Mus musculus: one gene and its partners. The protein of the gene in region 2 purifies or fractionates together with the protein of the main gene of each other region. This does not show direct contact. Links are inferred from orthologs where the notes say so. Each region holds a gene or a part of one and is shown on either strand. Other genes may lie near its edges.

Region 1 (6,256 bases), on a different chromosome or scaffold from region 2:
ATTTAGCACTTTAAGGTGTTCTTTTTCTCACGAAATATATTTAATAAAAATGCTGTGTATGTAGAATTTGTGTTTATTTCATTTAAAGAATAGAGAACCTTCAATACTGATCTGTTAGAAGCTTATTTCCTCACAAAAGACTGCAACTCCTATGTGAAGTAACACAAAAGCTGTTTCTTTAGTGTTTTTTCTTTCATATGAGAAAAAAATTAATTCTAAAATTCTAGTGTTTTTATTATCATTGTATGTATGGATGATACATGTGTATGGGCATGCATGCTTACATGTGGATATCAGAGAACAAATTTGTTGGGTCAGTTTTCTCCTTACACCTTCATGGGAATCGAACTCAGGGCTTCAGGTTTGAACAACCAGCACTCTTATCCACTAAGCCATCTCACCAGCCCTCATATGAAGATTAAAAAAAAAAAAAAGACAAACTGCGTGATTGTTATAAACTTAGTTTGTGATGAAATCATTTGAGTGGATAAAATAATTAGCATTAATTTATTGTCTCCAGTGTCCAAGTACCACAACTAGATTCTTGGACCTCAGCTAAGACAAGTAGAAACAGCCTTTTGACTTACATCCTAGTAGAGACGGCCAGCCAATAAAGCAACAACAAGAAATGAAGCAGGGAAGAAACCGAGAGACCATTGGAGTGGGGGGAGATTTGCTGCAGACTGACTGAGAGCAGAGGGGGAGGTTTTCTGGGTAGCGAGGTCAGGGCTCTCTGAGGAAAAGCAATCGAGTGGGCGCCATGAAAAAGAGACAGATGTGCTCCTCGGGAGTAAAGGGAGGAGAACATGAAAAATATCAGTAGCATCCTACTTGTAGGACTAGATCTAAATCTGAGTTTCTTTCCCCTCTCTGGCTGGAGTTGTGATTCCTCTTTTGGTTTCTGTTTTGTTTGCCTGTGACTTGATGGAGTTGCTTAGAGTAATATGCCACTTTTGAGTTTTTTGAATACCATTGTTCATCATAACTCCAATACTGATCTACATATCACATGTGCTAAGTATGTAGGTATTGTTAGAATGTCCCAATTTATGCCCGCTGAGCAGTTTGTCTGTATCGGAGACAATCCAAAAGCCTGCATTATAATTATCAGCTTGCCTGAAGTAGGCTCTCTAGTGCTTTGGAAGGTCTCTTAAGATTACTACCAAAGAGGGTTGGAATTCCCTCCAGTCTTAGAAAGTAATCCAGTCCCATAGTTCTTTGGATAAAGAATCTGTGTATGGCTGTGAGTCATTTGAGTTAACTTCAAATACTGAAATTTCAGATAGCGCAGGATTAGATTTCTACTACTGGCTAAACATTTTGCTGAGCAACAAAGGAGGTGCATATACAAATGTATGGGCGCTCCTCTCTCCCACTGGCTTCACCTTGAGCCTCTTGGAAATTTCACCAAACTCATAAACTTGGAAGTGTATTAAACATTACACGACAACGGGGAGATCATTTAGAAACAAAAACTGGAGCAACTTGAGATTATCATTTACATCAAATACAGAAAACGTTTGAAAAGATGACTTCGACATCAAAGACTTTTAGAGAATATCTAAAGAGAACATTGATTTTTAAGAATTAGTAAGTTAAATGTTGAAAGAGAAACTAATGGGACAAAGTAGCCTGAATAGGAGAGGCAGTATTCCCCTCAAATTTAAGTACATTTATCCATTGCTTTAAAAATCTAAATCTTAAACGTAGAGTTCAGATTTTCCCCCTAGTGTTGACTGCAGGAAGCAATTAAAAATTATTGAAAAGATGCAGTTTTCAAGTCGCATTTGCTGGACGTCAGACAATTGTTGTCTAAATAGCGAATCTCTTAAAATTAGATAGGATAAATATAACGAATCCACTAAAAGGACTTGTATGGCGAGTAACTCCTAAACTGTGCTTATGCAACGGTTATAGGTCGCCTTTGACTTACATGCGAATACTTTTATAGTGACTTTGGAAATATCAGGAATGTTAGACCATATTAAATCACAAAGATTGTTTTTAAAACGCCTTTAGGAACGAGGGAACTGTAAACACAAACTCCATAATCAGGTTGCTTTGGCCAGGCTTTAGGACAATTCCGTACAGGATTTCAAGTAAACGTTAATCCTTCAGAAGCTCCTTGGCCCTTTTCTGTGCTGCAGTAGCAGCAGCAGCACAAACAGGCAGCGGATAAAATTACCTGAAATCCGCCACCAAGCGGTTCCCATGCCCTCAGGTGCTCAAAGATGCTGCAGACGCGCCCAAGATGCTAGGCGACCGACCAGAGAGGCGCGTCAGCCCTGGAGCCCCGCCCCTACAAGCCCCGCCCCTAGCCCGGCTTCGCCTTAAGCCCCGCCCCGGTGTCGTCGCCTCCGCGGGGCTGAGGATGACGTGAGGAGAAAGCCGCGAACCTCTGCCTCCTGTGGGTGCTGCTGGGCCAGCGGTTCCCACAGCCCCGGAGCCAGACGTGCTGCGAAGCGCACCGCCGAGCTCTCCGGCCGGCGGCCCCCTCACTCCCTCCCAGGCCGGGCCGCTCCCTGTGCGGCCCCTGCGGCTCCTGGCACGGCCCCGCGCTCGGCTGCCGCCCTGGCGCGCTCCACTCTGTCGTCCCCGGACGGGCGCGGACCAGCTCGACCGGGGCGCCGGCGGCTGGGCAGAGGGCGCTGGCCCCGGGGCCGCGCCAGCGCGGCCACCAACCTGGGGCTGTCCGTGGAGGGCGAGTGCTGGTTTCGGGGCGAGGCGACGCCCTTCGGGGCCAACGGGCCGCACGCCGATGTGGCCGTGGGAACGACTCACCCGTTTTCCAGCTCGGGGTCGGGGTCGGGGTCGGCGCCCATGGGGGCCCCGCCTCCGTCTCCTGGCCTGCCCCCGTCGTGGGCCGCGATGATGGCGGCCCTGTACCCGAGCACGGACCTCTCGGGCGTCTCCTCCTCCTCCCTGCCTTCCTCCCCATCCTCCTCGTCGCCCAACGAAGTGATGGCGCTGAAGGATGTGCGAGAGGTGAAGGAGGAGAACACCTTGAATGAGAAGCTTTTCTTGCTGGCGTGCGACAAGGGTGAGAGCTAGGCCCCCTTCTCCACCTCCGGACACCCTAGCACCCACTCCCCGGGTCCGGCCCCTGCCTCAACTTAACTCCTGGCACTCGTGCTTTTCCTTGTGTGCAGCGGCTATTCCCACCTCTGTGCAGCCCGCAGGACTTCTGCCTAATTGAGCTTGAGCAGCAGGCAGGTAGGGCGGGGGCGGTGGACTCGCGCAGGTGGGACGTTTCCATGGCGAGGAGGGAGCCTTGATCCCAAAGTTGCCCCACTTCTGTCACTAATAAACTCTAGTTTGAAGTTACTTCTTCCTTTGGGAGCCAGAGGCTAGTTTTGGACCTAATCCGAAAATTCTACGAATTTCCCTTAAGACTTCTCCGATTTATGGGCTGTCACCTTGTAGGTTTGTTGTTGTTGTTGTTGTTGTTATTTTTAAAAAAGACTTTTACTTCTGTTTAGCATCAGCCAGCAGTGCCTTAGCCTGTTACAGTTGAGTAGTATCCCATTATCTTTAACACAAATAATACGAAAAATCCTGCCCTAGTTGCCGAAACTTTCCCCAAATTTCTGGAACCCCTTTTAAATGTCGGTATTTTTTATTAGGGAGAAAGATTTATTGCTTCAGAGAGTTGGAGGGAGGCAAAGGTAGTAAAAAAAAAAAAAAAGTAAATATAGGCGAAATAATGTGGAATATACTGGTTTTGAATCTAAAAATTGATCACTTTCTGGCCACATTAAAAGACAAGCATGGAACTTGGTTGCTCCCAGATTGCTTTTATCTCTTATCTGAAAAACAAAAAAAGTACTGAAACATTCTCATTCCTCAGTTAAGCAGTTGGATGTTGAAAGGCAGTGTTTATTTGGGAAAACGTTGTTGGAACCATGCAGACTTCTGAAGCCTACTTCCAGAGGCCAGCTCACACTATGGGAAAACTAGTTACAGAAGTTTTTGGATTTGTTCACATATAGAGGTTTAAGTCAACAACATCTCCCTAAACCTTTTAAAGCATTTGAGATAGGTTTTTGTTTTTTTTTACATGATTATGTTTAATCTTAGCCAGGCCAAAAGGCAATCCCTTCTTGACATTTCATCATGGATTTAGAGCCAGGATGGGGAGGGCAGAATTCCCCGTGTCCCCTGGTTCCTCCTAGTTGTCTTCTGTCACCTTCGTGAGAGGCTTGCTGCATTATAAGGAAGGATGCTTTAGGTTTCTGTAGCAGCTTTGTGTGCCTCGGGGCTCAGGATGGTTTCAAAATGTGCAACATTTCCTGGAGAATATATGCCACTGTTGTATTAACACCTTCCTTAATATATTTAGTGGTACTTTCTGTTTTCCCTATTTTGGAGGAGATTTGAAGGGTGTGAGGTTAGGGAGGAGAGCGGTTTGGGTAATTAAGAAGCAGAGACCTGAGTATTTGGTTGAGAAGTTTTATATTGGTAGTCAGCACCTAATATAAAGATGTGTATGATGAGGAAAATAATTTGCATAAAGGAGGGGTGAAGAGAGTATAATTAGTATGTAGGGTACTGGAGCTATATAGGCATCGTTCTATACAGCTCACAAGTGTCACTGGTTATAGAACTTAAGCACTCTGTACAGGGACATTTTGTAAATCACCAAAGCTTTAGAACACACTAGTTGAGAAGTGTACCATGGGAAGTGGTTCGCGGTTATTTTAATGAAGGATGGTAGAGCAGCTAGCTACCTTACTGGCATATCTACTGACCTCACAATGTGTTTCGTTTTATTCTTTTTAACTTGCTGCTCTTTGCCTTGCTATTATAAACATGAAGTTCTTAATTGTGTTAAAGCATTGGACAAAAAGCTCTATTAATGAGTAACTGACTACGTCCATATTCTTTAAGAATTTTTCTCTAATAAAGATTTTTTTTTTTGAGACAGGGTTTCTCTGTATATCCCTGGCTGTCCTGGAACTCACTTTGTAGACCAGGCTGGCCTCGAACTCAGAAATCCACCTGCCTCTGCCTCCCAAGTGCTGGGATTAAAGGCGTGCACCACCACCGCCCGGCCCCATAAAGATGTTTTCTTTATGTGCAGTAGTGAGGAAGAGTAAGGGTAAAAATGTATGTGTATGTGCATAATGGATATCTCTGAGCACACACAAGTTAAGCTTCGGTTTAGCTTAAGTGGCCTAATGAGGTTTGGAAGGCAGGCTGGCCCTAGTACAGAGTCCTCTCTCCCCTGGGACGTTAAAAACACATTACCCAAGTGAAACATTAGTACATTGTGTGTTAAGAGACTGAAGGGTGTTTAAAGGTTAAATCTGAATGTACAAGCACTGTTGTAATCTCAGTTTCTCTTGTCCCTAGTACTATAAACTTCAGACTGATTGCACCAAATTTAGTGATGCCAAAGAACCTAAGACTAGGAGTAATAGTTTAATATAGGTAATGAGAAGTTCAAATGTTACTTAGAAGCCATAATTGATAACATTAAAAAGCAAAAGTGAACGATCAGGACTAAATTCCAGCACCAAAGCAATTACTTATGAGTTCCAGTAGGATTTCTTTGGGTTCCAAAGCTTTTTTTTTTCTCTTAATCTGTTTTAATATTAATTAGAAATATTTTAAGTAGAGTGTCATAATTCCATGTCAAAAGTATTTTGTAGAAAGTTTGGTTTGAAAAGATTTATAAATATTCTGACACAAAAGCTTCCCACACTTCACAACTAGCCTCAAATCTAGCTTGGGCCTGTAGTCCATGTTGGCCTGGAATTCACTATGTAAGTAGTCTAGGCTGACCTCAAACTTACAGCAACCCTCCTGCTTCTGCTTCCTGGGTGCTGGGATGATAGGCATGAGCCACCACATGTAGCAAAACTGATCAACATTAAAGCTGTCATCATTTCAGGAATGGTGAGATTTACCACCATATGTTAGAAAGTCAAAGGAGAAGCCAGTGAGGGAATGGAGAATCATCTTTCCTAACTGATATTGTAACACTTCTCTACTGAATTTCTCTTAAGGATTTATTAGAGTTGGACAGAGGAAATTTATTGTTGCGATACATACTATTACAATTGCTAGCCCAGTTTCCAGTGGACTTCATAGATTCCAGTAAAAATAGTGCCCATTGAGGATGCTAGAAGTCCACAAGTTATAAGAATAATATGCTTTGAAGAGGAAGGGCTAGAACATGGGTGGCTAGCTGATCCCTAAGCCAAATCTGTTTTTGCAAAGCCTGTGAGCTAACTCTGACTTTTACATTTTGTAT
Region 2 (4,209 bases):
ACTTTTCATAAAGTGCTTCAGTATTATAGAAACCATCAACTTCTTTTAGACCAGATTTGAGCCTCAAACCAACCTCTTGTTCACATAGACAATTCCTTGTCATTTCTGGGATAATTAGTAATAGACCTTCCTGTAATGAAAGCAATGGGCCTTTGTACACTTTGTATGCTCCAGCAGTTCTGCCCGCCCAGGAGATTTGTCAATCACCATGCATTATCCTTTGATCCAAGATTTAAATTTTACTGATGATTTTGCAGTTTTGCACTTTCATGTTTTAAATAATAAGACTATATTTTAAATGAATTGAAGGGAAAAAATCTTAATTTCTCATTTTCATTGCTTTGGGAAGAATGTATTATCATAACCTTACACACAGACAATTATAAATAAATTGAATGAAACATCATTCAAGTGTTGGTCTGATTTGCCTTATGCTCCCTCCATTTTCTCTAAGTGTGTGTGTGTGTGTGTGTGTGTGTGTGTGTGTGTGTGTGTGTTTCAGAGGACATGTCAGAGATTGTTTTTCCAAACCCACCCATCATTTTTTATTAACCATAAACTCTCTCGCTAGTCTGGAACTCCCTGCTCAGATTAGTCTGGCTGGCCTGCTGAGCCCTATGTCTGGTGGGCTTTGGTTTGTTTGTTTGTTTGTATGTTTGCCTGTTTGTATGTTTGCTTGTTTGTTTACTCTTTTTTTAAGTGTGTTCTGAGGACCAAACTCATGTCCTTGTGCTTGCACCTGAGCTATCTGGATTCTACAATCTGCTAAACACACACACACACACACACACACACACACACACACACACACAAGTAAATATTTACCTCAGTCTAGTTCTGAATGTTCTAAGGAAAATACAATAACAATAAATCTATTTAACTTCATTTGCAAAATTATAACCAAGCCATTTTGCATATTATATTATTAGGACATTGGGCAATAGAGAAAGGAACAGAATGTTCTAGAAAATAAACTTTAAGACTGGTAAGCGTCACGTACTTTTTCCAAAGATACTTTGGTGTGCTGAATCAAAGGTGGCTCTTTGACACTGAGCCACAGCCTGAAGGAACCCAAGTTCTAGCCTAGCTCTGCAGGGCTGCTGCTGGTCAAAGACATCAGTTTCTTTGAATTTCAAACTATGCTAGAGCCCCTCACATAGCAGCCACCAGGAAGGAGTTGCTCTATTCTGCCTTCCTGATGATAACTGCTTTTAATCTTGTGTTTCATTTAGTTTATATAAAGCCTAAGAAGTAACTATGTAGGTGAGTAAGTGAGACCTTGCAAAAGAACTGAATTTGCACTGGGATCCTCCTATTGCGGTGTGTGCATCTGTCTTTAGAAAGTCACCATATGTCTCTTCTTTTGTAAAGTGACAGAAACCTACTGTTCTAGGTCACCAATGCAAAGAAGCAGTTGTAAGTGCTGCGTGACTGCAAATTTGGTTGATTGCTTTCCAGTGGCTTCCTAAAATGGACTTCTGAAATATCCATGATTCTTGGACCATTGGTATTTGTCTTAATCATTACCAAAAACTATATTCTCAATTTATCTAACTCTAAGGTGAGGTTCCGATCTGCTAACTTAATTTTTCTCTCTCTAATATTCTCCTTGCTCTAATGTCACCTGTGTTCTCCCTAACAGTCCTATTGAGAGTTCAAAGGTCATCCTTTGTTCCTCTCTTTGAAATAACACTCAGACACACATACTCACACACTTAGATACTCACACTCCTTGTCAAATTCATCTAAAGAAACTGTGTGTCTGTAGCTGCTCTTCCCTGTTCTAACATCTTCAAAGACCCTCACTGTATGGAAAACAATACCCATTCTGGCCTCAAAATGTCTTCTGATGTGGTCACTCTGGTCTCCTTTGCCTGTGACACTCCTGGGTCTCATTCTTACTTGCTCCTGATGGTTGGATCCCAGCATTCCCATGCACCTTGAATTTCCCCATCACATACATTTCCAAAGCTCTGCTTTGCCACCCCACAGTCATTTCTGTGCCTCAACTCGCAGTGATGATAACTCCATGAAAGGATTTTGTTAATCCTGTTATAAAAGTCATTAACAGATTTGTCTAATTCTAACTGGGTCTAGTATTTAACACTGGATTATGATTGTCTTTGAAGGCAGTAAAAATTTAGGTCACATTATTTACCTCTTACTGAGTGCTGGGTGTCCTTACTCATGTTCCTGAGTTTCGCTTTAAACCACATCTATTTAACCTGAGCAGTAGTCCTCAGCAGATGACACAGCAAAGAAACACCTGGGATGTAGGTTAAAATACTTTTCTGCTCCACCCTAGAATAATCAGATCTAAGGAGAACCATATATTCATGTTCCCAGTGAGGTCCAAGGAGGCAGGTGCTGCTGATGGCTGCTGATTGCCTTGCACAGGGCTGGCACACAAATCTTACACATTTGCATACATCTCACACGGTCTTCCCCCCCTTTCTTCTGTTCTCACATTCTGCTCCTTCTTTCTTTCAGATTGACTTTGAAGATGTGATTGCAGAACCAGAAGGGACACACAGTTTCGACGGCATCTGGAAGGCCAGCTTCACCACCTTCACTGTGACAAAATATTGGTTTTACCGCTTGTTGTCTACGATCTTCGGCATCCCAATGGCACTCATCTGGGGCATTTACTTTGCCATTCTCTCCTTCCTGCACATCTGGGCGGTTGTACCGTGCATCAAGAGCTTCCTGATTGAGATTCAGTGCATCAGCCGCGTCTACTCCATCTACGTCCATACCTTCTGCGATCCACTCTTTGAAGCTATTGGCAAGATATTCAGCAACATCCGCATCAGCACGCAGAAAGAGATATGAGGGACATTTCAAGGATGAAAGGTTTTTTTCCCCCCTTACTATTTCCTTGGTGCCAATTCCAAGTTGCTCTCGCAGCAGCAAATTTATGAATGGTTTGTCTTGATCAAGAACAAAGAATTCATTCCCACCATTCTCATATATACTACTTGTCTCTTCTAAGCTACTGCATCTATGTTTGACAGTCTGGAATGTTTAAACCCATTCCTGCTCTCTCTTTTATATGTGAATCATTGTTTCATTGGCTAAAATATAAACATATTGTTGAAAGATGATTTGAGAAAAATAGGAAGGACTGGGAGGCAGGGAAGAGTACCAACAACCTCAACTGCCTACTCAAAGGTGATGATGTCATACAAAGGGAAGAGATTCAGGTTACGGCCATTTGTTTAGGGGCATGAAGGAACGTTTTTAATATATGCCAGTTATCTAAGGAATTGGTTGCTGTCCTCACTCTTAACAATCCAGTTAGATTTAGGGATTTAGGGATCACCATCAATTTGGAGACTATAATCTTCATGATACCAACAATGTTTTACTTATCCTGGCATTTTAACCTGTTATTTTGTATGCCTGAATATTTGCTATACTGAGAATAAGACCTACGTGCCTTCTAATTTTTCATGTTTTTTTTTTTTCCAAATAGGATCTAACTCATCTACTTGCATGATGCCGGCAGCTTTCCTAAAAACAAAACATACAAATTGCACTTGCTAGTTCTCTGTACTTGTTTCTGACTCTGAAATACAGAACCTGTTGATGTTGATATCTGTGCTCAGCTATGTAGCATCTTTCTCTCTGTTAAGCCTGGTCAACATTAACCCAATGAAATGATTTGAAGCAGACAAATGGGGGTGAGACCTCTCTGGACTGGCAGAAGTAGAAGCCAGCTTTCCCTGCCACTCAGCAACTGAATGAGGCCAGCGTGTCTATTCAGTTTCACTCATTTTCAAGAATAATCACAGGTTCCTGACTCTAAGCCAGCCCCTCACCAGGATCAAGGTTTAGTGACTGACTGGGATGATTTAGGAGCTCAACATTGTACTTCCTTTTCAGCTGATGAGTGAACCTCCAGGGAGGGGTGTCAAAAAGGAGGCTGCTAAACCGAGACTGCCAAGCCTGTTGTAAACATGACCCCTTTTATGCAAAGCCCTTGCAATAGTCTGCAATGCTGTGAAGCTCGACCTTTCCCCCTGCAAGGAACCTTTGACCTAATCCAACCATCATTTTGTTCAGAAAGGTGGGGGAAGGGTGGTAACAAAAGCTTGAGGTAATGTTCTTGCTGTAATAAATTCAAGTTTTTCTGAACCCAAACTGAGGAATTTCACCTGTGTACCTGAGTCTCCAGAAAGCTGCCTGCCTGGGACACCCAAAAGCCTT
Region 3 (6,057 bases), about 110 Mb from region 2:
GAAGGCAACTCAGCAGGAAATCTGGGGGAGTGTCTAAGTGTGTAAGAAACAAAATTAGAATGAAGGAGGCCTGACTAATGTGCTTATGTTCTATCTTCTTATTCTGCCAGGAATAGTCTTCTCAAAGGTCCCAGCTCCTGAGAACTCTCCCCCCTAGGGAGCTCAAGGGTGGCCCACCTGAATCAATATCCATCTTCCTTCGTATGCACAAGATGTATCATTCCATGATAAGATATAAGGCAACACATCTCTAACCTCACCCACCATGATCCCAGCATGGAGCCACCTAACTCACTGCAGGTTTTAGGCAGTAGTGGAAAACTTGCCTAGTATGTATCAGGTCCTAGGTTAGATCCTCAACTCCTTAGTAAATGAAGAATTAATAAACCATGGCACTGTGGAGTGGCGAGTGCAATGTCGTAACGCTGGCTGCTGACACCCCCTCATGTCACCTGTCACATCCACACTCAATCCTCATCCTTGCATCTCTGCTAACACCATTTACATGAAGTCACATGCAGCCAAATGTCTGCACACACCCACTTCCCAGCAACCTTCTTGTACAAATCCACTAATGAAGTCACATCCTCTGCATTTCCAGAGGCAACGCAAGTTTGTGTGGCCTTTGCTGTTTCAACAAACTTTGCCTCAAGTTTCCAAAGCACCTGTATTTGTAGACTCATTCACAGACAATAGGTGGTGACATCCCTGGAGTAGAATCTCAAACAATATGCAGGAAAAGAAAATAGACAATATAATCAGACACTCTGAATTACAGCAACTTTCCAGCAATGTAAAAACAAAAAACATCTGGAGGAAGCTGTATCTAGAATTGGCTGACAGACCTTGAAAAATCCTCCCCTTGGCTTTTGGAGACCACAACAGCCTCAGAGACTAAAGACAAGGGCAGAGTGTAGAGAGGGACCCTGGCATCCCAGCCTAGAACCCAATCTTTATCTTACTCATTCTTCTGCCTCCTGCAATGGAAGAAGGGCCTCAGGCCAGATGTGGGGAGGGGAGAAAGAAGCGAGCTCCCTAAACCCAGCAACTTGGGTTTGAATTGCAGCGTTGATACTTTCTAGTTCTGTGGCCTCCATATACAATGTAGTCAAGTTCTGTGGCCTCCATATACAATGTAGTCAATCTATCTGTGCCTGAGTTTCTTTGTATGTTGAAGGTAGTCCTAGTACTTACAAAGTAAGCTGATGCAAAAACACACAAGTCCAGAATGATCTGGACATACTAGCAATAAATAAGTCCCTCTGCCTCCTCTTTACACAGGTTTCTATGCAGTCGCTAGCTTAGAGCTTTCCCGTGCACAATTATTCTCCACCAGGATTTATTCTCTTTTCTCACTGTGCATTTTACAAAAAGAGGATTAGGTGAGGAGGCTGGAGGGATGGCGAAGAATGCAGAGGCAGGAGACCAGACAGCTTCTCTCTCAGTTGAGACTCCTCCTGGCTCCATACTAGCAGATCAAATCACCAATGTCTGGATGATGAAAAGCAGGCTTAAGGGGGTGCTGTGAGGTCTCAGTCTCATACCTTCCAATGGATCTGTAGATAGACTGGAAGAGTTCCAGAGTACACACACACACACACACACACACACACACACACACACACACACACAGCTCGCTGCTCCCCTGCAGTGTCATTTTTCCCAAAGAGAGAGGCTGTTAATCTATAAAGCATTGGTTTTGCAACCTGTGGTTCACAATCCTTTTGGCAAACCTCTATTTCCAATAATATTTACATTACACTTCAGTAACAAATTCCATTTATGTTATGATAACAATAGTAAAATCACAGTTATGAAGTAGCAACAAAAATAAATTTACCGTTGTGGGGTTCACCACAACATGAGGAACAGTGTTAAAGGTTGCAGCAGCATTAGCAAGGTTGAGAAGCACTGCTCTAAAAGAAAAACACCCAGAGCACTCTCTTCTCCACTCACTGGAACTCAGCTACAAGCCTTCCCCTTGCATCTAAAGCAGTTCCCACCCCCTGGAGTCCCCTTTCCGCTTTCTGTGCATTCCCAGGTGATCTGAGATCCTGAAGCTATTCTCATCCTGTTGCCCTGGGAGTTTTCAGCGCTCCTGGTACAACCTGTTCCTCGCTCCTCAGGCTCTTTTCCTCCTCCCCTTCCTGTCCTTGCTGCTGGGGCCCCAGCTGAACCCTCCAGAGAGACACTCTCTGACTCCGTCCCCAGAGGAGAAACAGGAGGGGGAGGAGGAGAGGAGGGAGCCACAGAGGGCGGAGGCCGGGGAGCTCAGCCAGAGAGGGGCTGCTGGAGGTTGCATCTGCTGGAAGGAGGTTTTTCTGCTGCCTGGTAACCAGCTGCCAGAACACTGAGAGGGAGAGAGAGAGGCAGGGAGCAGGGGCAGCAGCTTCTTGACGTCAGGACCAGCCAAGGGGATCCAGCCAGCTACCCCAGCCAGCCTAGAGCCAGCGGGGGCCCTCGGCTGAAGAGGAAACCGCGAGGCGCGGAGCGTGAGTTGGGGTGTGGGAACCGGTTGTCTGGGGGCGCAGCATGCCCCTTGCCCCCGGGCCATGGAGATCTCCCTGGTGCCCATGGAGAACGGCAGTGCCATGACCCTCAGAGGAGGAGGGGAGGCAGGGGCAAGCTGTGTGCAGAGCCCCAGGGGAGAGTGTGGGTGCCCTCCGACGGCTGGACTCAATAATCAGTCCAAAGAAACATCACCGAGGAGGCGCGCCACACACGAGGATGCGGGCCAGGGTGGGAGGCCTTTGCCCCCTATGCCTCAGGAGCTGCCACAGCCTAGAAGGCCATCTGCTGAGGATGAGGAGGGAGAAGGCGACCCTGGCCTGGGCACAGTGGAGGAGGACCAGGCTCCTCAGGACTCAGGATCACTCCATCACCAGCGGGTCCTCATAAACATCTCGGGTTTGCGCTTTGAGACGCAGCTGGGCACCCTGGCGCAGTTTCCCAACACCCTCCTGGGGGACCCAGTCAAACGCCTGCGCTACTTCGATCCCTTGAGAAATGAGTACTTCTTCGACCGCAACCGGCCTAGCTTCGATGGCATTTTGTACTACTACCAGTCTGGGGGCCGCCTGCGCAGGCCGGTCAATGTCTCCCTGGATGTGTTTGCAGATGAGATCCGCTTTTACCAGCTGGGGGACGAGGCCATGGAGCGCTTCCGGGAGGATGAAGGCTTCATCAAGGAAGAGGAGAAGCCCCTGCCCCGCAATGAGTTCCAGCGCCAGGTGTGGCTTATCTTCGAATACCCAGAAAGCTCTGGGTCAGCAAGAGCCATTGCCATCGTGTCGGTCTTGGTCATTCTCATCTCTATCATCACCTTCTGCTTGGAGACTCTGCCTGAGTTCAGGGATGAACGGGAGCTGTTACGCCACCCCCCAGTGCCGCCGCAGCCCCCAGCCCCTGCCCCAGGGGCAAATGGCAGTGGCTCTGGTGTCCTTTCCTCTGGCCCCACAGTGGCTCCGCTCCTGCCTAGGACACTGGCTGACCCATTCTTCATCGTGGAGACCACATGTGTGATCTGGTTCACTTTTGAGCTGCTTGTGCGTTTCTTTGCTTGCCCCAGCAAGGCAGAATTCTCTCGGAATATTATGAACATCATTGATATTGTGGCCATCTTCCCCTACTTTATCACCCTGGGCACCGAGCTGGCAGAGCAACAACCAGGGGGTGGTGGTCAGAATGGGCAGCAGGCCATGTCCCTAGCCATCCTCAGGGTGATCCGCCTGGTCCGGGTGTTCCGAATCTTCAAGCTCTCCCGCCACTCCAAGGGACTGCAGATCCTGGGTAAGACCTTACAGGCGTCCATGCGGGAGCTCGGGCTGCTCATCTTCTTCCTCTTCATCGGAGTCATCCTCTTCTCCAGCGCTGTCTACTTCGCAGAGGCAGACAATCAGGGGTCGCACTTCTCCAGTATCCCGGATGCATTCTGGTGGGCAGTAGTCACTATGACCACTGTAGGCTACGGGGACATGAGGCCCATCACTGTAGGGGGCAAGATTGTGGGCTCACTGTGCGCCATAGCTGGGGTCCTCACCATTGCTCTGCCTGTGCCCGTCATCGTCTCCAATTTTAATTACTTCTATCATCGGGAGACAGACCACGAGGAGCAGGCTGCCCTGAAGGAAGAGCAAGGCATCCAGAGGCGGGAGTCTGGGCTGGACACAGGAGGTCAACGGAAGGTCAGCTGCAGCAAGGCCTCCTTCTGCAAGACTGGGGGACCCCTGGAGAGTACTGACAGTATCAGAAGGGGTAGCTGTCCTCTAGAAAAGTGTCACCTAAAGGCCAAGAGCAACGTGGACCTGCGAAGGTCTCTGTATGCCCTCTGTCTGGACACTAGCCGGGAAACAGATTTGTAAAGAGAGATCAAGGCAGACTTGCAACAGCAGAGCTGGGAACCGGTTCCTCTTGAGCTTGCTTATCTGCTTTACACCATAGAGTATTTAAGCCCACCTGGTCACCCATCAAAGTCCGGATCCTGTCTTTCCCCGTTTACCCTTCCCACCCTCCTGCCCTCTAACTTCCCCATCCCCCCCCCTTTCCATAACACCAAGGGTCACCTATTTTTAAAAAGTATCGCATTCCATGACGCAGGAGCCGTTGAAGTGGTGAGCATTCACTGTAAGATGGATGTATTCATAGCCAGTTTTCTATACCCAGCAGAGGGATAACTCAAACAAAATTGACTTTAAATAGCTCAGATCCCAAGAGAGTCCATAGCCCTCTCTATTCCTGTGTTCCAAATTTACTTTACACGTGATTATATTTGTATATGGCAAATATTATTCTTATGGCTGACGAGTGCATTTTGTACAGCAGTGCACATGAAGAATATTTGGGTGTGTTCTTAAGATGTACTTTGAATTATGAAGTCTTGGGGGGGGTCATCATTTCCTGGGACAACCCAGGGGCAGAGACACTAAAGAAGTTGTTCAAGTTTGTGTTCCCAAGCCTCCCATTATTCTGGGATGTACTATTGGTGCTTTGTGTCTAAGGTAGAGAATGTTCTAGAAGAGCAGCAAACCTGCTTTTTTTTTTATTCCCCTTAAACATATCCTGTGACTTTCTTCACAGAAGCATTTTAAGGATGTTGGAAGAAGGCTTTTGAGAATTCATTCTTTTCATTTTGATAGCAGGAAATAAAATGTGACTCTGTCGGGCAAGTGTTAGTTTGTCTACTGCTGAGGGTGTGACATGTTAATCAGTGAAGTCTGCCACTTGCTGTCTGGTATGAGCGCTGTCAGTGCAAATGCTCTGACAGGGTTAGAAAACTCAGGGAGCCCAGCATCCCCCTACCCCCCATCATTTACTTATTTGTTCATTCATTCATTCATTCATTCATTTGCATCCTGATCACAGCCCCCTTCTCCTCCCAGCCCTGCCCTCACAAATCCTTCCTCCCATTATCCCCTCTTCTTTTCCTGGAAAGGGGACTGCCTTCTCAGCCAATCTCAGCAAGACTAAGTGCAATCCTCTCCCACTGAGGTCTAACCAGGCAGCCCAGCTAGGAGAAGGGGATCCCAAGGGAGGCAACCAAGTCAGAGACAGTCTCTGCTCGACTCTTAGGGGACTCACATGAATGCCAAGCTAAGCTGCACATCTGCTGCAAGTGTGTAGGGCACCTAGTTCCAGTGTCTGCATGCTCCTTGGTTGGGGAGTCAGTCTCTGTGATCCCATGGACACAGGTTAGTCCAGCATCCTCTTTTTAATAGATCTCACTGAGCTTAAACAGAGGTTCCCAACCTCTAGGGGGAGACCCCTTTGGGGGTTCATATATCAGATATCCTGCATATCAGATATGTACATTGTGATTAATAACCATAGCAAAATTACAGTTGTGAAGTAGAAACAAAATGATTCTATGGTTGGGGGTCACTACAACATGAAGAACTGTATTAAAGGGTCGAAGCATTAGGAAGGCTGAAAACCACTGGCTTAGAAAGATGATAGATGGATTGTTTGTGTCTAGGCTGTGTGTGATGTGGGCCTATTACTGTCAACACAGACTCTAGATTTGAGGCTAAGGGAAAAGGGTGATGAGCCCCGCCCTGCAGC

Evidence for each region.
Region 1: the proteins of Cav1 (region 2) and Trpc1 purify together in Homo sapiens (affinity purification with western blotting; 3 studies listed by BioGRID and IntAct, with this or other methods). This does not show direct contact. The link is inferred for Mus musculus from reciprocal best matches to the Homo sapiens genes CAV1 and TRPC1.
Region 3: the proteins of Cav1 (region 2) and Kcna5 purify together in Homo sapiens (affinity purification with western blotting, with the first as the bait; 3 studies listed by BioGRID). This does not show direct contact. The link is inferred for Mus musculus from reciprocal best matches to the Homo sapiens genes CAV1 and KCNA5.

The regions. Positions count from the first base shown.
Region 1 is NC_000075.6:95,746,452-95,752,707, reverse strand, and holds the start of Trpc1 (short transient receptor potential channel 1), read left to right. Parts: upstream 1-2,359; 5' UTR 2,360-2,820; coding exon of another isoform or gene 2,821-2,868; coding exon 2,869-3,040; intron 3,041-6,256. UniProt on the Homo sapiens protein: Forms a receptor-activated non-selective calcium permeant cation channel. Forms a heteromeric ion channel with TRPC4 or TRPC5 that has reduced calcium permeability compared to the homomeric TRPC4 or TRPC5 channel.
Region 2 is NC_000072.6:17,336,623-17,340,831, forward strand, and holds part of Cav1 (caveolin-1), read left to right. Parts: intron 1-2,490; coding exon 2,491-2,832; 3' UTR 2,833-4,209. UniProt on the Homo sapiens protein: May act as a scaffolding protein within caveolar membranes. Forms a stable heterooligomeric complex with CAV2 that targets to lipid rafts and drives caveolae formation. Mediates the recruitment of CAVIN proteins (CAVIN1/2/3/4) to the caveolae.
Region 3 is NC_000072.6:126,531,659-126,537,715, reverse strand, and holds Kcna5 (potassium voltage-gated channel subfamily A member 5), read left to right. Parts: upstream 1-2,160; 5' UTR 2,161-2,552; coding exon 2,553-4,361; 3' UTR 4,362-5,165; downstream 5,166-6,057. UniProt on the Homo sapiens protein: Voltage-gated potassium channel that mediates transmembrane potassium transport in excitable membranes. Forms tetrameric potassium-selective channels through which potassium ions pass in accordance with their electrochemical gradient.